Saccharomyces cerevisiae S288C: one gene and its partners. The protein of the gene in region 1 interacts with the protein of each later gene in a pairwise test. Each region holds a gene or a part of one and is shown on either strand. Other genes may lie near its edges.

Evidence for each region.
Region 2: the proteins of HCA4 (region 1) and RRP36 interact in binary tests that used the Saccharomyces cerevisiae proteins (3 or more experiments, as listed by UniProt).
Region 3: the proteins of HCA4 (region 1) and ENP2 interact in binary tests that used the Saccharomyces cerevisiae proteins (3 or more experiments, as listed by UniProt).
Region 4: the proteins of HCA4 (region 1) and ESF2 interact in binary tests that used the Saccharomyces cerevisiae proteins (3 or more experiments, as listed by UniProt).

What each region holds. Positions count from the first base shown.
Region 1 is NC_001142.9:382,214-386,649, reverse strand, and holds HCA4 (RNA-dependent ATPase HCA4), read right to left. Parts: upstream 2,814-4,436; coding exon 501-2,813; downstream 1-500. Other genes in the region: Rab geranylgeranyltransferase BET4, read left to right, coding at 1-282; Hsp70 family ATPase KAR2, read right to left, coding at 3,275-4,436. UniProt on the Saccharomyces cerevisiae protein: ATP-dependent RNA helicase required for ribosome biogenesis. Involved in the release of U14 snoRNA in pre-ribosomal complexes. Required for pre-rRNA cleavage at site A2.
Region 2 is NC_001147.6:849,340-854,324, forward strand, and holds RRP36 (rRNA-processing protein RRP36), read right to left. Parts: upstream 2,501-4,985; coding exon 1,598-2,500; downstream 1-1,597. Other genes in the region: thiosulfate sulfurtransferase RDL1, read left to right, coding at 296-715; thiosulfate sulfurtransferase RDL2, read left to right, coding at 941-1,390; protein disulfide isomerase MPD1, read right to left, coding at 2,782-3,738; YOR289W (uncharacterized protein), read left to right, coding at 4,018-4,773.
Region 3 is NC_001139.9:778,904-785,531, reverse strand, and holds ENP2 (ribosome biosynthesis protein ENP2), read right to left. Parts: upstream 3,766-6,628; coding exon 1,642-3,765; downstream 1-1,641. Other genes in the region: YGR146C-A (uncharacterized protein), read left to right, coding at 95-256; ECL1 (Ecl1p), read left to right, coding at 674-1,309; THI4 (thiamine thiazole synthase), read right to left, coding at 4,153-5,133. UniProt on the Saccharomyces cerevisiae protein: May be involved in rRNA-processing and ribosome biosynthesis.
Region 4 is NC_001146.8:721,713-727,120, forward strand, and holds ESF2 (RNA-binding ATPase activator ESF2), read right to left. Parts: upstream 2,595-5,408; coding exon 1,644-2,594; downstream 1-1,643. Other genes in the region: putative GTPase NOG2, read right to left, coding at 1-58, 591-1,400. UniProt on the Saccharomyces cerevisiae protein: Involved in the small subunit (SSU) processome assembly and function, and in the 18S rRNA synthesis. Required for the early cleavages at sites A0, A1 and A2. Stimulates DBP8 RNA helicase ATPase activity.

The DNA of each region.
Region 1 (4,436 bases):
TTCATTAAAAACGACATTGTTTGTAAAACTCTGGACGAACAAGAGTACCTTAAAATGTTGAAAGACTTGAGAGAAAACATTCTGTTAATAAATAATGACGAAATTGAATTTTCCGGGAAGCAAAATATTTGGTGCTTGAAAATTTTATTAGTTCTCGAAGATATTCTGGAAGAAAAGGAAGCTCTAACGGAAAGAAGCTCGGAACAATATTTGGTCCAATTAATAGATGCGGATCCGTTAAGAAAGAATAGATACCTACATCTCCTGGAGCAGCATAAGTGATGATATACATATATAAACATATATATATATGTATATATGATGGAAGCCTGTTCACTATAAGCGGGATTTCATTTGACACCTTCAATGCACGAAAGTATATGCATATTTTTCTTTTATTGTAATATTACCGATGATTTGAACAAAGAAATAAGTATATTAGTGTAGAGAATAGATGTATACAAGTTCTAAATACTATAGGTTAGACTATGCAGGAGGGTTTAACCCTGGATTAATTTAGCTGTCAAAGATTCCAAATCCTCCAAAGTTTGTGGTTCTTCCACTTCAATAATGTCATCATCAACTGAATTGGATGGATTGTGGCCGTGGGAATAGTCAACAGTTCTAGCTTTCTTTTTCAAGTGGCCTTCCGAGTCAGGCATATCACCGTCGCTCATATCATCGCTCAAGTTTCCTGTTCCTAAATATGCTACTGTCTTCCCTTCTTCTTCATCTCCAGAAATTTCTTCTTCCATAGCAGCCTCCATTTCCCTTCTCATGGCTTCTAGTCTTTTTCTCTTCTTCTCTTGTTTTTTTTCTTTAGCCACCTGCTTATCAATATTGTCAATGTCTGCCATTACTGCAGATTCTTTAGTTAAAAATTCTGTCTTTTGTACCTCCGCATCACCTCTCTTATGAAATTCTTCTTCATCTTCAAGTTCATAAACTGGATGGGCTTCGCCTTCATCATCAAATATTAATTTGCTAGCGTTACCCTTGGAGGCCAGAGATGCCTTCTTTGAAAGCGCTTTCTTCTGTGCTCGCCTTGAAGTTGGAAGAGTTAGAGCTGGTAACTCAGCTTCATTTATTTCATGATCTTTACGCTTGACAGAAATGAAATCGTCATCCTCGTCTTCTTGTGCTTGAGCCTTCGTTATATTCAAATAGTGTTCACTTAAGATGGTTTGATTTTTACGTTCAAACATTTTATCATATTTTGTTCTTGGTTGTTTCGACTTATCTTCAATTACTTCACCATCTTCATTTGCTTTTGATAAGAAAGCTAGCTGTCTTGGAGCATTCTTTCTTTCTTTGGCCTGCTCAATGGTCTTCATACCCTTCATTTTGATTTTTGGGGCCCCTGGTAAACCAAGAGAATAAGCGAATTCTTCTGTTGGTAACTCATCGAATTTGAAAACTTGTTTGTCCTTTTGCACATATATAGATCTCACGTACGATATAAAAGCCTTTTGTCCTAGATATTTTAGTTCTGGATCCTTGAATAATAATGACTGCAATTGTGGTTTAATGGATTTCTTTTTTGACTGTTTTATATTAAGTTTGCCTGGTTCGATCTTTCTAGCGTTAAGTCTTTTTAGGAACGCTTCCTGCTCTTGTGGAGTCAACATGATTAAAGATTTACCCTTTTTACCGTAACGAGCACATCTACCGACTCTGTGGATATATGTATCAACGTCCTCTGGACAATCCACTTGAACAACCCAATCGACTGCAGGAAAGTCAATACCTCTAGCAACGACATCGGTAGCAAAAAGACACACCTGTTGAGCACGATTGAATTTGTCCAAAGTTTCTGTCCTAGCACGTTGTTTCTGTCTACCGTGTAAATGCATTAAAGAAATACCAGGCTGCATCTTCCTAAATGTCTCATAGACAAAATGCACTTGTTTGGAACTTGATAAGAAAACGATCATTTTGCATTTTAAATGTGATTTTATAAAACTGAAAAGGATATCCAATTTATCTGCCAAAGGAACTTCAATGTAGAATTGTTGCAAAGTTTCTGGAGTAGATGCTTCTTTGTTAACCGACCCATCCATCACATCATGTGTACCAACGGTTTTATAATCTGTCAAGGAAAGCCTAGCCAAGTCTGCAACAGATTGTGATTGAGTCGCTGAAAATAAAAGTGTTTGTCTAGATGGTGACAATGTGCTTACGATGGCATCCAGAGTTTTTTTAAACCCCATGTCTAAACATCTATCAGCTTCGTCAAGAACAAGCATCTGCAAATTGGAAGTATTTAGACCTACGGCTTGATCTAAATGTTGTAAAATACGACCAGGTGTACCGATAAGAATGTTAATCCTTGATATCCTTTCTAGTTCGAATTTAACATCTTTACCACCGATAACTAACCCAGCTGAAAATGAAGTGTGACTACCTATTTTCGTCAAAACCTCATATATTTGCATAGCCAACTCTCTTGTTGGAGATATGATAAGGGCACCTAACCCATCGAATTCGGTCCATTTTTCGCGGTATAGCTTTTCAATTACTGGAACTAAAAATGCTAATGTCTTACCGGAACCTGTCTTTGCGGCCGCCAATACATCATGACCTTGCAGGGACACGGGAATAGAATCGGCTTGGATCTCAGTAAGTTTTATAAAGGATGATTCTCTTAAACCTTTTAATGTGGGATCGCTAATGGGGAGATCTTTGAAAAACTTGGCCTTGGTTATCTTAGGGTCATACTCATCAATTTTGGTTTTCAAGTTTTCGATGTACTCATCTTCCTTTTGACGTAAAGTCTTTCTTTGAGTTGTGTTCAATCTATTTTTTTTGGCCATTTCAGTATTAGGTTCTCGAGCCTTTCAACTCTCTCTGTTATAATGTTTTAGCAAAATATTTCAATAGTGATGGGATGAGATGAGATGAGATGAGCTTAAGCACTTTTTTTTCAGTGAAAAATTTTCGGAACGGGAAATAAAGCATTATCAGGGTAAGAAAAAATTGCATTTGCGCAATAGAGCTAAGTAATACGCAAAATTAGCATATTGATGACACTGTTACTGAGTACCTTAACCCCAGTCTCTATACTCTTCAATGAAATTTCTATATCTTTCTAATTTTATAACATATAATGCATATATTTACGTATATACTCAGTATAATCTCCTCGAAAATTGTATGAAGCTCGAAGTTTGAATTAGCTATGCATGTATTTTTAGAAGAAATGTAGATATTCTATGCAAGTCAATAAATTAACAACCTTGAAGCTTCCAGCAGCAAAAATTTTTAACTATTTTATCTACAATTCGTCGTGTTCGAAATAATCACCATCGTCATCTTCATCTTCGTCGTCATAATCAGCGGCACCAGAACCATCAGCACCTCCGTACAACTTAGAAGTAATTGGATAAGCGACCTTGGACAAAGATTCGAACTTTTCATCAAAGTCTTCAGCAATGGCGGTTTCAAAGTTATCATCTAACCATTCTAAAACATCGTTAGCAGCATCTAATAAGGTTTCCTTGTCTTCTTCTTCCAATTTTTCACCTAGGTCACCATTAACTTGGTTTTTCAAAGAGTGAGCGTAGTTTTCTAATTTGTTTCTAGATTCAACCTTGGCCTTGATAGAAGCGTCTTCAGAAGCGAATTTTTCAGCCTCTTCAACCATTCTATCAATCTCTTCTTGGGTTAATCTACCTTTATCGTTAGTGATGGTGATAGATTCGGATTTACCAGTTCCCTTATCTGTGGCAGACACCTTCAGAATACCATTAGCGTCAAGTGCAAATGTGACTTCAATTTGAGGTACACCTCTTGGTGCTGGTGGAATGCCGGTTAATTCAAACTTACCTAATAGATTGTTGTCCTTAGACATGGCTCTTTCACCCTCGTATACCTTGATCATAACGGTTGGTTGGTTGTCAACGGCAGTAGAGAAAATTTGGGATTTCTTTGTAGGAATAGCAGTATTTCTCTTAATTAATGGAGTCATGACACCACCAGTGGTTTCAATACCAAGAGTCAAAGCGTTGACATCCAATAAAACAATATCTTCGACACCTTCTTCACCGGATAAGACACCAGCTTGAACGGCTGCACCGTATGCAACAGCTTCATCTGGGTTAATACCCTTGGAGGCCTTCTTACCATCAAAGTATGATTCTAACAATTGTTGGACCTTTGGAATTCTAGTAGAACCACCAACCAAAACGATATCATCAACATCCTTCTTTTCCAAACCAGAATCTTGCAAAACCTTCTCGACAGGCTTCAAGGTCTTCTTGAATAGATCTAGGTTTAATTCCTCAAACTTAGCTCTGGTCAAGGTTTCACTTAAGTCGATACCATCAACGAAGGAGTCAATTTCAATACGGGTGGACATTTGGCTGGACAAGGCACGTTTAGCCTTTTCAGCTTCTCTCTTCAATTTAGCTAGGGCCTTGTTGTTGTCAGACACATCA
Region 2 (4,985 bases), on another chromosome or scaffold:
TGGTAGACATATGGACGAATTACTACTAAGATTGGCTTCCATAAGGCCCAAATCCAGATATCACCTACGGTATGTCCTTTTCCTACTTGCAATGACAAATAATTTGTTATTTATCTTGGAACCTATATAAGTTACATCTGATTGCTTTTGTATTTTTTTTGGAGAATATTATTACCCGCGGGGAAGGAAGTAAGGGGAGAATTTTTGAGGTGTATAAAAGAGAGTGGAGGCTTAATCAATCAAAGAATTCTTTCTCGTTTATTTTCAGGGTTTGTGACTAAGAAACGATATTAAAATGTGGAAGGCCGTGATGAATGCTTGGAATGGAACCGAGAGTCAAAGTAAGAATGTTTCAAATATTCAATCTTACAGTTTTGAAGACATGAAAAGAATCGTTGGAAAGCATGATCCTAATGTGGTTTTGGTAGATGTTAGAGAACCATCTGAGTACTCGATTGTTCATATTCCTGCTTCCATCAATGTGCCATATAGATCGCACCCTGACGCATTTGCCTTAGATCCTTTAGAATTTGAGAAACAGATTGGCATCCCAAAACCTGACAGTGCCAAGGAGCTAATATTTTATTGTGCTTCTGGCAAACGCGGGGGAGAAGCTCAAAAAGTCGCCTCCTCACATGGATATTCAAACACCTCACTATATCCTGGCTCTATGAATGATTGGGTTTCTCATGGGGGTGATAAACTTGACTTATAGCCTTGTATACTCTAGGTATGTACCCTGTGTATTTTCGTAAGCTAGTAACGTATTATGCCATTTATGTCACACCGTTCATAATATTTGCCTATTGCATTGGCTGTGATAGCGGCGGCGCAAAGAAATTAGGAAGTATAAAAAAAAAAATACAAAACTTAATCTGAATGGAATAAGATAGCGATAACTCTCAACAAATGGAAGCGAGACAGAAGAAAAAGACCAACGATGTTCAAGCATAGTACAGGTATTCTCTCGAGGACAGTTTCTGCAAGATCGCCTACATTGGTCCTGAGAACATTTACAACGAAGGCTCCAAAGATCTATACTTTTGACCAGGTCAGGAACCTAGTCGAACACCCCAATGATAAAAAACTATTGGTAGATGTAAGGGAACCCAAGGAAGTAAAGGATTACAAGATGCCAACTACAATAAATATTCCGGTGAATAGTGCCCCTGGCGCTCTTGGATTGCCCGAAAAGGAGTTTCACAAAGTTTTCCAATTTGCTAAACCACCTCACGATAAAGAATTGATTTTTCTTTGTGCGAAAGGAGTAAGAGCCAAAACTGCCGAAGAGTTGGCTCGATCTTATGGGTACGAAAACACTGGTATCTATCCTGGTTCTATTACTGAGTGGTTAGCTAAAGGTGGTGCTGACGTTAAGCCCAAAAAATAAGCCAAAAAGAAACAAGTATAATCGATATATCCTGTATATAGACAACCTTTTGTGTATTTCAAATTTTTTGTTGTCACCTCTCCGATTCATTCGATTTTCTCCTTGTGGTTCGCGGATAACCTCTTACTTCCATTAGTTTATGTGTGCGTTTATTTTTTTATCTTTCTCTATATATTACTTTAATGTGCATTCTTTTGCTTAAATACTCTACCTACGATTATGAAATTCAAATTGTTTAAACTCTTTACCCAATCTCTTCTTCCTTTTCCTTTCCATGACCTTTTCACGTTGCTTGGCCTTCATGTGATCAAATTTCCACTTTTGCACCACTTTACGTTTCTCAGACTTTTTCAAATGGTATCTCGTATTATTGTTTTTATTCATATCATTTTCGTATTCCTTGAGAATTTCACGCTCGAGATCTTTGTTTTTCATTGATTGCAATCTCGATTTCATACTTTTCAGTCTTTGTTCCATTTCTTCACGTTCTCCCTGGTCTATTTTTGATAGAAATTTTCTTTCTTGTAACAGCTTCTGCAGTTCATCAATTTCTTTTTCTCTATATTCGTCCAAGAACTGGTAACGTTTTCTTATGATAGAACTATCAAGGGCTTTACCGGTGGACTTATCAAATCTGATGTCCTGATAGAGGTTAGACCTTTTATTCCTCGGTATTTCCAGCCCAGGGATATTTCGGACTCGTGGTACCCTTTTCTTGGATGATTGTTCTACTGGAGCGTGTTTGCTCTTCTTTTTTGGTACTTTCTGACCATGATGAGTTTCATCCTCACTATCTTCTTCAAAGAATCCAGCATCCTCGTCTGATTGGTCCTCACTGTCCTCATCTTCATCAAAACTTTCTTCTCTGTATGTAGTTGTGATCGGTTTTTTGTGAACGGGTTTCGTATCTTTGAAATCTTCTTCATCTATTACCGTTTCAGCCTTCTTCAAAGAACCAAAAGACAAGGTTTTCAACTCATCGTCACTTGATTCTTGTTCGTCAATTTCTCGCTTACTTTTGTTCGCCATTATGCTCTCCAATAAGTTTCCGTCATCTTCTTCTACGTCGGAGTTCAAGTCTGGCTTCAGATTTTTAAAGTAATACGACATTTTTAACCTTCTAGTGCTTATTGACCCTCTATACAATTTTTGGATGGCAATTTAATTATACTATTTAGTACTTATTCTTATGCCCCAGTTTTCCGGTAGAAAGGCAAGCTCATCGGTTGAAAATTTTCAAAGCGGGTAATAAACGTGTCTTTCGGTATTTAACCGCTCAGATAAAAGTTATTATTGCAAATAAAAGTAAACGTCCATGCCATCAGTTAGTGGACTATATAGATACATATGTTGTGTTTAATTAGATAATCATTGAATGAGGAAACGTACCACTACAATTCGTCGTGCTTGTTTCCTGAGGAGGAATGGTTCTTTTTAATTGGCTTCTTGCCAGTTTTTAAGTAAGCAATATATTCAGAACGTCTACTAAAAGGACCCTCATTGGGGGTAATACTAAAAGTGTCCCGCAGAAATTTGGAAATGTCATTTTTGTTGATTGAGTTCCCTTCATACTCCCAAAATTTATCTTTGTCTGCATCAAAAACGACAAGCTTACTTTTATCGCTCTGTCGCTGTTCAGGAATGACCTTCTGCAAATATTTGAAAATCTCAGGAGTTTTTTCATATGTTGGGTTCATATCGGTTAGTTGCTTGAGTTTTTTGTTTGAAATTGAATAAAAATCGAACTTTCCTAACCAATCAAGGGCAATGCTTTTATAAACCGGTGAAATTTTGTCTTGTTTGGAAAACAACACCACGGAAAGTTTGGGTGACTTTCTAAGTAAAGAGCCAAGTGTATCTATACGGACAAACTTTTTGACATATGACCTTATTCTTGAAAGAGAAAAATCAACAATAGGCGCGAGAGTTCTTGCACCTGAGTACACTTCATTGGCATGAGCGCTGAAACTTTTTTTGGCGTTATCTATTGGCTTAGATAGGTCAATTTTTGGGGGCCTAAATACCATTAACGTGGGAAATCCGTTTACGTCGTATTTAGCACACAAAGCCTTATTCTTGTTAAGGTCACAGTTTACAGCAGCAACTTGGACTACACCATCCAATCTTTTTGCTGCCTTGCGGAACGTACTAGAGAGCTTCTTACAATGGCCGCACCACGGAGCATAAAATTCCACTAATGATGTGTAATTTGTGTTATGGATCGCTTTATCGAAGCTTTTTGGCGTTAACTCTGATATATGAGGATCGGAATCGTAAAAGTTTTGCGCCTTTACTTCATTCATAATAAAAAGTCCCAAAAGGAGCTTAATAATATTAAGAAATAACATTATATGTCAAATTTTGTCTCTCCTAATTGTGTTAAGTGGATGCTTACTGTTGAAAATGACTGCGAAAAGATATTTCTCTTCATGTTATTTAACTTTTACGTGTCAATTTTAATTTTTACCAAATTTTTATACGCCTCGCAAGGCTCGAACAACGGCCCTTTTTTCAAGGGATAAGCACATGACACTGGGCGACAAAGGAGGAATATAAAGAGAAATTTGCGTCAATTTGTATCCAGATAAGATCCTTTGAAAAGATGGTTTTTGGCTTGTGCGATAGTAATGGCTTTAAGGCTATTTCGAAAATCCAGTTTTTTTGCAAAGATATCAATGGAAGGCCCTAAAGGTTCATCGCCATTTGCGTTTTACGCATTTTATCAACTTTATTCGCACTTGAATCCGGGGAAATCGAGCAGCCTTTCTTTAGAAGATATTAGAAGAAGGCTATACCCCGACTTTAAAATAGATTACAATGAGAAAACTTCGTTGTTCATAACTTGGAAGAAAAAGTCCAATAAACATCACACAATAGACACTAACGAAGAGAATTATATACTTAGAGGATGTATCGGTACATTTGCTAAGATGCCGATTGCACATGGTATTGAGAAATATTCCTTGATTGCTGCTTTAGAGGATAGGAGATTTTCTCCGATCCAGAAAAGGGAATTGGTGGACCTGAAATGCAGTTGCAACATCTTAGGCAACTTCAAAACTATTTTTCGAGGTGGTGGTAATCCAAATGGGGACATTTTCGATTGGGAACTCGGAAAGCACGGTATTGAACTGTATTTTAAGCATCCCAAAACAGGCACCACATGTAGCGCAACCTTTTTACCTGATGTTATGCCTGAGCAACATTGGAATAAAGAAGATACCTTTGCCAATTTAATCGAGAAGGCGGGTTACTGGGGCAATATTAGTGAAGTAATGGATAATTTTGAAACTTATTTCATTGAAGTAATAAGGTACGAGGGCAAAAAAAGTTCCATAACTTATGAGGAATTTAACAAACAGTTAAAAGATATAGAGGCTTAGAAAATAACCCTCGTTAGTTAGTCTTAGAAACATTAAAAAAAATATGCTTTTATACATTGATCAAGCTTAAAAATTGGACGCAACCGGAATCGAACCGATGACCTCTTCCTTGCAAGGGAAGCGCGCTACCAACTGCGCCATGTGCCCTGATGACTGTTGAAACTGTTGTATCTCAAAATGAGATATGTCAGTATGACAATACGTCATCCTGA
Region 3 (6,628 bases), on another chromosome or scaffold:
TATTTGCTACCGTGTTTATTACCGTCATTCATCGCCCCATCTCATCGCTTTTGCGCACCGGGTTCAGATCATTCAATTTTCTTACTTTTTTATTATGGGGTTCCTCCCTGAGTGTAATTTAACGTGTGCTTTCTTATTGCATTCGTTTACATTCCCTATTGCTCATTGCCCTTCTTTCAGTTGGGCATCTTTTTTTTTCACAATTAGGCCGCCCTTTTTTCCCAAATTGGCACTTGTTTGTACGATCTTTAGCTAGAACTTGGAGACCTGAAACGTGGTGATTCTTATATTTAAAGGAATACCGATCTTTTCCGTTTCAACACCCCAATTGTGAGAATTTTATTTCTTGCATTTCGGAAAATTTAGATACATTCACATCCATACTTGGACACATATATATATACAATATAATCATTGACACAGGCCATCGCCATTGAGTAAACTGTCTTTGAACTGTCTAAAGAACTTAGAACTATAGTGTTGTCCCAAGAAGTTAAAAATTGAACACTTGTGAGAATTATAAAACAGAGTAAGCAAAGAAAGAATAGAGAAACAATACTCCGCTACCGATTCTCCTTTTTTTCCTTATAAAAAAAGCTCGAGAATAATTACTTTATTCTTATCCCTCCACTCCTTTCAGGTATTCTTTACCGATTTGCATATCAATCATATAATGAGCACCGCATTCAACGATTACTGCACTGTTTGTGATCGTCTCATTCCAACATCTCCACAGAAAACGAACATTAATACCAGGAAGATCCAAAGGGACAATGAAACCAAGAGCAGTTTACAATCAAATAAGTTATATTGCTCCGAAGATTGTAAGCTGAAGGATTCGAACCCTCTTAATGAGAAATTATTATCCCACTTGCATAAAAAATCAAAAACTTCTCATTCGCATAATCTCACTCCACCGCTTTCATATTCTAAAAATTTAACTGCATCAAACCTCTTCGAGCCGACTACCTCACTATCTTCATCTCCGACATCTTCAACTATCCCCTTTGACGAGTTGGAGAAGCTAGAGTCCTTATTAATTTCACCATTGCTGCTACCTCAGGATGGTATAGTCAATCCTAAGCAGGAGTCTAATCCTTCTCGTGTTGACGAATATGATGAAAATGAACATTATTTGAACTTAGCCGACTCTCTTAGACTCGATTCTAGTTACCAATTGCATTCAAAGGCACATTTGGGTTACGAAAACAACTTGCCACGATCAAACGATCTAATTGATGATCATTTGATCTCAGATCAGATCATTGAGAATAACTACAACCTATGGTTTAGACTATCCTCCAGTTAAACGGCTTCACTTGCTTCGTATCTTCTTCGACTTGCCTTTAACCTACTCATGATTCATGCTTATTTTTTCTTTTTCGATTTCCTTTTCTAGTCATCCTAAAAAAAAAAAACCTACACATATACATATATACATAGTTCTCTACACATCCTTTTGATAAAGAAAATATGTACGTACATCTGCATTAAAAAAAAAAAACAAAACCCTCAATATTTGGGGAAAGAATTCTATAATGTAAACTGTATCACGCATACTTTTTGCTGTCTTCGTCTTCATACATATAATATTTTTAGTTTAAGGTGAAAGGATAATTAAAATATCAATTTCTAATATAACTACATACCACGGAACGCATTTTTGCTAGCTCTTCTTCTATTTTCGAATCTGGGCTTCGACCTACCATTGTCCTTCTTATTACCATTTTCGTCAATACCTTCTTCATCCGATGAATTATCATGACGCCTGGATTTATAATTTCCGTCTTTTTTGCTTTTTCTTTGAGGAATAAAAGTAAGTTCTGCTTCACCGCGTTGGTTACGACGTAAAATGGATTCATTTGATTTCTTTCCATTTTCCACCTCAAGCAATTCGCCTACTTGTTCGCCAAATGTAACGTGAGCACTTTCGTCTCTTTGCGTACTCGTGGAAGTGCCGGCTTTCATTTCGTTCATAAAACGTTCGCTTTGCTCCTTTTCCTTCTTTCTGCGTTCAATTAGTGCCTTTTGCTTTTCCATCTTTCTCAAATCTTTTTCACTTAATTCTTCCTTATTTGACTTTTGGTTCGTTTCATCATCAGATTCTTCTTCATCAGACTCTTCATCCTCGTAGTCATAGTGACCTCTGCCATCCTTCATTGCAATTCTTTCTTCGTCGGACTCTTCGGCAGCAGTTAGCGCCCTAATACGTTTAGCAGCACCTTCTTCGGTTTCTTTGATGGATTTTACTGGATTCAATTGTTTGAAATCATAGTCATCTTCATCGACTTGAAATTCTTCATCCTCAAACATTTCTTTGAAACGGTCATCCGTAAGAACCTTTCCTGCAACTTTATCACCACGTTTTTGAGATAGTTTATCAACCAATGTTTTATTGACTTTAATTTTAGGTTTTTGAACAGCCCCTGAACTTCTGATTCTGGATTCTCTTTCTTTCTCAATTCTACGTCTAATTTCTCTTTCTCTTTCATCTTTGTAGGCATCTGGATTAGCAATTAATGAAACCTTATCGTAAAGTTCAGTGTTAATAAAGAAACCATGCATGTATGCTCTTAATACTCTGGATCCCACCAAGTGCGTTAAATTCAATTTTTTAACGTCGTCTCTAGTAATGAACCTGTAGTTAGAGTAAACAGTGTCACTTGGTTTTTCTTCTAATTCTTCTGTGATAGAATCCAAGAATGAGCACCAGCGTGGAGATGGTCCTAAACTTGGAATATAATATGTATGCATGGGAATACTTTCGTTAGCGGTGAAAAACATACCTGTACCTGGTACATGCTCAATGTCGTTAATATCAACACTAGGCTCCATAGAAGCGTATGCCTTACCATCTAGTCTATCCCATATTTTTGCAATTCTCTTGTCACATGTAACAATTTTATTTTCCGTGCCGACGTTATCCAACCAAATAATTTTCTTAATGTCAAACCCATAACCTTGGTCTTTAATAATGGAAGGTTCAGAAGTACGCAAGTCATAAATGTATGAATAACCGTTCGACGTACCACATGCAAAAGTTAACCCGTCATTACGGAAACTGGTTGTGGTGACTTGGAATGGTCTGTTGTCAATATTGTTCTCTAAATATAGCTTTGAAACACGGGAACGCGACCTTGGATCCCAGAATTCCACTACATTTGTTTCCGTGCCTGCCGCTAACAACCCATTTACTTCATTGATAGAAACATGGTTCACGCCTTCAGTATCCAACTTGAATGGGTTTAAAAATCTCCCCTTTTCCAAGTTCAACCTGTATAACTCATTACCGCTCGCACCAACATATAAATCACAGTTTACCTTATTGTAAACTAAACTTCTCCCAAATTTAGGAATTCTTGTGGTGTAATGTAGACCACCTTTGTTTTGGAATTGAATACTTCTATCATTTTGTAAATGTACACTTTTAGTCCAATCGTCAGAGAGAATAGTGAAATCCACGTTTTCAGCATCTGTGTGTCTATCGAACTTCAGTGACAAATTAGCAAAATCGTAGACATGGATCTGAGGTTTGTATGTACCGGTAGCCATGCAATATTGCCCATCTCTACTCACTTTAATCTTATTGGAGGCTTCGCTAAATTCAAAATCTTGAATCAGTTCTACTCTATTTTGATATTCTAAATCATTCTTTAATTGCCTTTTGCGCTTTTTCGCAATCCAGTCTGGAAGTGATCTTGAAACGTTTGTACCAGAAACCTGATATACTGAAACATCATTTGCGGAAGTAGATTTCAAAACCATAATGTCCCCTTTTTGAAGATATATGTTGATACCTGTAACTGATGTAATAAATGATGTGTTACTGATTACAGCCGATGAGATGAGATGAGCTTAGCTCAAAATTTTCAATTTTTTTTTTTCTTAATTTTTTTTAAGATCATATTTGGTTACCCGACCATGAAGTGACATTTGAAGAATTGATTTATATTTTTAATATTGCAAGATGTGCGAAAACTCACCATTACAGAGATAACTAAAAGTCTTATCTCATCACTATCGGATCTTTCCACTTAGTATTTTCTACGGTTAATTTAAAAATCAATAATAAAACAAAATCATCAGCGAAAATTGTGTATATAGCGTGTATAAAAAATATATAAATCTTTAAAAGCATACCTCATTAAAAGCCTAAGCAGCAAAGTGTTTCAAAATTTGCTCAGCAGCATGAACACCACTCAAAGCCATAGCTCCAAAAGTTGGACCCATACGGTTTAATCCATCCAGTTCAGCAACTTCCATACCAGCAAAGTACATGTTGTCAACACCGGCGTATGCACCAGAGTGAATAACGACATCGTGTTCGGCATGGTTCATGTCCAGACCCTTCATACCGCCCAATTTTTGGTTTTGATCAATGTCGACGATTCTCTTGGCGCAGAAAGCACCAAATGGACCATCATGACCGGTAGTGGATAAAATGACACCATGCTTTTGACTCAAGTCACGAGTTCCGTCATTTTTGTAACCTGCCAATTCAATTACGTTAGGGTCCATGCAACATTGAGTACCGTGAGCTTGGGTAACTAACGTCCAGTTGGTGACAACACCAGCAACGGTGACTTCGCCCTTTTCGGTAGGTGGTCTGGTAACCAAATCTTCAACACAGGTAGCATTGAACAGTTTAACATTTGGTAATTGCAAGACCTTTGAAAGGACAGTAGAGATGAACAAAGCGGCATGCTTAACGACAACATAGTCACCTTCGTCTTCGTAAGGGATTTCCAACTCTTGTAAGAACAAATGAGCTGGTTTTCTCATAACCATGGCACTAAATAATTGACCACCCAACCAACTACCACCACCTGGTGCAACTGAACTTTCGATAATACAAACCTTCAAGTCTGGTCTGTTCTTGGCGATGACGTAAGCGGCGGATAAACCTGAAGAGCCCGCACCGACAATAATCACGTCAGAAACGGCAAACTTGTCAAGATCCTTGAAATAACGAGAAGTCATAGCACGAGAGACAGTGGATTCGCGGATGGGAGCAAATTTAAAGTCAGACCAATCTTCTTTCTTAACGATGTCAGATAAGCAGTGAGTAACTGGAGTAGAGTTTAAGTGCAATTGAGAGGCACTTGTGGAAGTAGCAGTAGAGGTAGCAGACATTTTGATAGTTAGTTGATTTTTTTGGTTGTGATTTATTATTTCTAGATGATAAGAAAGAGAACATAAAAGATATTTCCCGACTACTTAATACACAATTTATTCCAATATTTATATATCTGGGTAGTTCATAAATTGAAAATCAAAAAATCAATTTCATGATCCATTTCTATTAGTGCTCGTAAAAAAATTTACGATTGAACTTGGTAACTGATAGAATACCAGATTCTTTACTATCAATTATGTATGTTTTTTAACGTGCATAATTATTAAAAGACCATTTGATTTTAAAAATGACGTTAGGAGATCGGACATTTTATGAAAACTTCAGAAAAAGGGCTTAAAGTAGAGTATCGTTTTGGACGTCTACAGGAAAATGGGGTGGTAAATGTTCTTGGCGTAAAAAAAAACTATTCACTAAAGCAATTGAGTGCCGATCCCTGTTGAGGAATGCTCATAAAGAGAAAGTATCAGAATTATTCCCCGCCGTAAATTTGTAAAAAAAGGGTAAAAAACGGTTAATCCTGAAGGGGCTTGGAAAGCTCGCCAGCTTCTTGTAATTCTTGACGCCACATATAGCAATCACTAACGAAGAAGTTGACTTTTTAGGGGGTTGATAAGCATTTTTCCCACCCATTTGCATCAGTTAATGTCAATTCAGTCATGATTTGCAAGATATTAGGAGAAAAAGTATGAAAATTAAAAAAGTAATCTTGAGCGGTACGAGAATCGAACCCGTGTCCCCACCTTGGAAGGGTGGGATGATAACCACTACACTAACCGCCCGGGGTTAACTTGAAAGCTCTAAAAGCTCGTTTTCCATATATAGGCATGTTACAATTCCTTTCCATTCTTTCCATTTTATCCATTATCTGATGCATTTCCCTGATAGAATAAGAACAAACTACCATCCATCGATTAGTATTCATGTCACTAGTATATTAATTATCATTTATGATGTAAAAAGAGGACATAAAAGTTATAGAACAGTCATTAGGTTTAATAAAAGCTTAAATAAGAGGATCGATGAAATAGTAGGATAGTGAAACATATAAAATGGAAAAGAAATAATAATACTATTAGGTAGATATATTGATTCCCTTTGGATTCCTGTATCTTGCAGAAGAACTTTCAACATTTTTTCTATACGCAATATCGTAGCCTGTAACAATAATTGTTGGGATTCCATTATTGATAAAGCAATAATGTTAGGTATGTAGGATATACTAGAATTTCTACTCGAGGGTATAGGAATCCTCAAAATAGAATCGAAATTTCTACATAATAATTGAAGAGAGTGTGGGTTCTGATGTAATTGTTGGGATTCCATTGTGATTAAGGCTATAATATTAGGTATGTAGATATACTAGAAGTTCTCCTCAAGGATTTAGGAATCCATAAAAGGGAATCTGTAATTCTACACAATTCTATAAATATTATTATCATCGTTTTATATGTTAATATTCATTGATCCTATTACATCAATGCTTGCATTTCA
Region 4 (5,408 bases), on another chromosome or scaffold:
TAGATGCGTGAAACGCCAAAGTTGGACGTTCCTTTGACAAATGTTTGACCCAAGCTGCCTACTTGTAAAGTTAGAATTGAAAAAAAAAAACCTTCTGTTAGTAAAAAATACATTTTGTTTCATAATAGGTAATCTTTTGCCCCAAGAGAATGTAATAATCATTGTTATAGCCGAGATTGATTGTTTCGAAGAGTGGATTAAACTAAAAAAAAAAAAAAAGTAGAAAATTGTGAGGATCTTTACTACGAACATATTGTATGGAGCCCGAGATAAAGTCTCAAATAACAAAAGCTCAACTCATAAGATCCTCGCTGTTCTAAAAAGCGAAGGTATACCTTTAAAACAAAGGTTGTCCTTCTAATTTACCCATGAGGCTTCCCCAGAACGGGGAAATATGGATAAGCGAACAGTATTACTCTTCCAAAACAGTAACAGACACTTCTGTAGATAAGTTTATCCTAAAACGGATAGAGAAGCACCCTGACAAAAAGGTTTGGTAATAAAAATCATACTCTATCGAAAAAAAAAATCTCTCGTGCTATCCTCTTGGTTGGAAAGAATCAAAAAAAAAAAAAAAAAAGTTAACATACTGCAACCCAGGTAGGTACCAAATCACACTTATTAAGAACATAAATTAAATGCTTGTGTGGTGTTTCCTTCTTCATATACTCTTCCACGGACTTACAACGGGTACCCAATGGATCCCTTGCATCTAGAACATGTATTACCACGTCAGACGAATCGATGACTTTATATAATTCGTTCCAAATACGTTTGGATTGACCCTTACTGAAAATAGCTTCTTTTGCTGCGGAGGTCCACCCATTTTCTTTGTCTTCCTGGTTCCCCATTAGTCCTAATGTGGCATCTAAGACTTGCTTTTCCTCATACTTGGTAATGTCTTCATTTGTAGCCTTGACCAAGTCCTCTAGATTGGATGCAGCAAGACGTGGTCTCTTTCTTTGGGCTTTGGGCCCAAACGCATCAGCATAACTTTCGGTATCCAAAATTCTGGCTTTTGGGGATTCATCTGCGTCCTTTTCTTCCAACAATGACATGGGAAGCTTATTTCTTCTCAGAAGAACTTGATATGTATCTTTTTGGGTTTCACCCAATGCACTTCTGAAATGCTGCAGTGCGTCCTGAGATATCACTCTTGTGTTACCGAACCAACGACGATCTGGTTGGACCCTCGCATCCGGTATTGTGGAGTCCTGGAAAGAAGCGGCCCTAATTAAATTACCTTTCTTATTCCTGATCTCCTTCCCACTAGTGTACATATTCAGGAATTTGACTCTCTTGGAGTCTCTGTAGAAATTTTCACCCTTCACACGAAGATTACCATCTTTGGTGTCACCTTCACGAATACGTCTAGATTTCTCTTTCTTACCAGTACCCATTGTATTATTCCTCCCCTGATATTTAGTGGTTTTGCTGCAAGTCAACAGATCTTCAAAGTTAACACTTAAGGGAAAGTACTAACAAGTAGTAAATATCTTTTATATATTCTACGCTTCTTTATATGCCCAAAAAGAAGAAAAGTGAAAAATTTTTCTTCAAGCGAAAAATTTTTGCGATGAGCATCGGGCAAAAAAACGTGCTAAATGACAGGTTGTGTTTATATATTTGTTATTGATTCTATATTATAGTAAATTGGTGAGAACATTACCCAAGTCTTTGGACCCAGAGGATTGCTGCTTGATATCAGAGGGAGCATTGGCACGGCTTGTTTCCACACGACGTTGTTTAAATTCCCTGTGAGGGTGAGAATCTGCAGACTCTCCTTCTTTTCCGGCGCGCTTCCTAGAGTTCTTAATGTTTTGTATCATCTTACTTTGCTCCACGTTTCTAATGAATTCCGCGTTCAGTTTGTTGGCCTGCGAGATTTCCATCTCCAACTTGGCCTGTCTGATATCGTTCTCGCGGGCAATCTGTTCAGTCAAATCTGCCCATTTGAAACCTGGGAGGTACTTCACGTTCAGGATATCATCATGGTAGAAAGTACCTTTCTTGCCACCAATAATGTTCCCGTTCAACGTCTCCGCACACAATTTGGCGTCTCTTTTCCTAATAAACTCGGCCCAACCTTCTTCATACTTGTTTTTCTTGTTTCCTCCACCTTTAACTCTTTGCTTGTACTTTTGATCGTCCTCTTTCTTTAGAAATAGTCTATCTACCTCACCAAAACGAGTTAATATTTGTCTCATTTTTGCAGGTTTCATGTAAGGTGGAATACTGGAGAAGTATACCACCCCAGTCTTGTGTTTAGACTTCTTGGCGGCCTTTGATTTTACCAGTTGCCTTAGTTTTTCTGTTTTTAAATCCAGTGAAGTGGTGGACGAAGCTTGTTCTTCTACTTCTCGATCGAGCTTTTCTCCATTCTCTTTATCTGGTTGTTCTACATCCTCTTTTTCTTCTTGTTTTTGCTCTTCTTCTATGTCTGACTCGTTTTCACTTTCGATGTCTTCTACCTTCTTACTGAAGATATCATCCTTACTAGAAATTTTTTTCTTGGTCTGAATTAAGACGTTATGTTGATCGGTTTCCTCATCTGAGGAAAAGTCTTCAAAGTCACTATTTACTTTTTCACTCATGCGTAAAAATTTACTTCACTCTGCTGCAGTAAACTGTTTGCTTTGTACTTACATAGCAATGGGTAGTTTGTCAGGTTGAAATTTTTCAAAATCTTAATAGCGAAAGTTTTACTGCGCAATGTGAGAAAAGCTGGCTATAACGAAGTAATTCAAAATAATAAAACAAGAGAAAGAAAAAATTTACACGTCATTGCCTTTGGAAATGTGATCAGACAGACCCAATATCACCGTTTAAATATTCTTCACGAGATAATGTAGTTTGTCAATTGAAACGCTATTTGGTGGCTGGCTAATCAAATATGGTCGATGAAGGGGTTGTCAATCCAGCAGCCCTTAAAGAATTGTCGCTATCTGTTTGTTCCTATAATTAATTTGCACTGAAAAGATACATGTGCATTATTGCAGTATATTATAAGGAATTCCGGAGTTTTCTAGTAACTTTCTAGTCGCGCAACCGAGAGATGAGTACTACAACGCAACCTATTTGGTAGTGCATCCTACACATTGTGAACGTTTTTGGTTCATATTACAATATTACGATATTACGAATTTTACCCTTTCTTTAATACTAACTTTGATCAGAAAGCACCTTTATCAATATGGCCACGTCTGGGAAGTCGGTCATAATCAAAAGGCTACAGGCTTTGGGGTTTGAAATATCAATATACGAATTGTGAGACTTTGTTTTATCTTAGGGACGAAAATGGATGTGTGAAATTACTTATGGAAGGATCAATAATAGCAACGTTTGCTAATGTGTTAAGATGGCAAAATGCTACTGGTACGCCTCGTTGAGTATCCATCATTATTAATAGCGCCAAAATTGAAACATTAATTGCGGTTTTAGAACAACTTTAGAATTACAGAGCAAGGTGATAAGATCTCAATAGCTTATGAAAAATAATAATTTTTTAGAACCTAATGAACGTGTCGAAACTTTCCGCAAAATATTATGTACATCTCTACTCAACCTTCTATTAGGATCATGAGAAATGTGTTAAAACAGAAAAAATGCACCCTCATAATAAAAAACTTGGCCAAACCAAACCCTTTCTAGTACATCGATATGTATATCACACAATAAAGTCAATGCAGCATAACTTAGAATCGAGGTAGCGACTCCCCGTATTGCTCAAAATGGAAAATTCTATGGAAATAGAATTCATATGACTCTGAGAACTAAAGGAACATTATGACGAACAAAATTGCTATGATGTGAGGAATAAGATGATACAGTCCTACCAAATACCAAAGATCGGGTCGTCGAGGGCGGTATCATATCTAGGGAGATTTCTTTTCAATTAGAGCATATTCATTATCAAGTAACCACCATTTGTATTTTTTTTTTCTTCTCAAGGTAGTTATTCTGTTCTGACGTGCAGAAGATGGGCGTAGCATTGACACAAAGATTCAGTGGGAAACTATATATCCATATCTCATCCTGGTTTGGAAAATGAAGAGCTGCATACTTATATGAGGGAAAGAAGGCTAAACAAAATATACGTAAAGCAACTATCAAGAGCCAATGGAATCTATTTTCAAAATTTGCGTTCTTCCAAAACATTTATCCCGTTTGATGCATTAATGAAAATTATGAACATTTATTTCCTTACCACACGTACATTGGGTGCTCTACTTTCTTTTTTATTTAAGCATATAAAATGTACACAGTAGTAAAATACCATTTTAAAATATTATTTGAACAATCATAGAACACTACGCAGGTATTCTTCTTCAAAAAGATAGCTTCAATGTATTTCATGTATCTGAAAACGCTTTGTCTTGCCATTAAAGATCTGGTGGCCCCGACAAAATAAAAAAAAATACTGAAGGATGCGAGGTTCGAACTCGCGCGGACAACCGTCCAACAGATCTTAAGTCTGCCGCCTTAGACCACTCGGCCAACCCTCCAAAGATTTATACTTTTTGTTGTATCTCAAAATGAGATACGTCAGTATGACATTTTGAGATCCTAAACGTTCATAAAACACATATGAAACAACCTTATAACAAAACGAACAACATGAGACAAAACCCGTCCTTCCCTAGCTGAACTACCCAAAAGTATAAATGCCTGAACAATTAGTTTAGATCCGAGATTCCGCGCTTCCACCACTTAGCATGATTCATATTTTATATAATATATAAGATAAGTAACATTCCGTGAATTAATCTGATAAACTGTTTTGACAACTGGTTACTTCCCTAAGACTGTTTATATTAGGATTGTCAAGACACTCCGGTATTACTCGAGCCCGTAATACAACACTTTTTATCGTATTTCAGGTAGTATACCACATCATTATTTGAAGAGTGGGTGAGTTTTGAGATAATTGTTGGGATTCCATTGTGATTAAGGCTATAATATTAGGTATGTAGATATACTAGAAGTTCTCCTCGAGGATTTAGGAATCCATAAAAGGGAATCTGCAATTCTACACAATTCTATAAATATTATTATCATCATTTTATATGTTAATATTCATTGATCCTATTACATTATCAATCCTTGCGTTTCAGCTTCCACTAATTTAGATGACTATTTCTCATCATTTGCGTCATCTTCTAACACCGTATATGATAATATACTAGTAACGTAAATACTAGTTAGTAGATGATAGTTGATTTTTATTCCAACATTATTGTACTCAGCAATTGTTGCGAAACAGACAAGATTAAGTATATTATTCAAGGCCTTGCTTACCTAGATGAACCATTGAGAAATATACATATTGAGCAATACCTCTAGGTCCGAAGTTCCGTGCCTACACCCTTTAGTCAGATTTAGATTATATGAGATAAGTGGTATTTTGT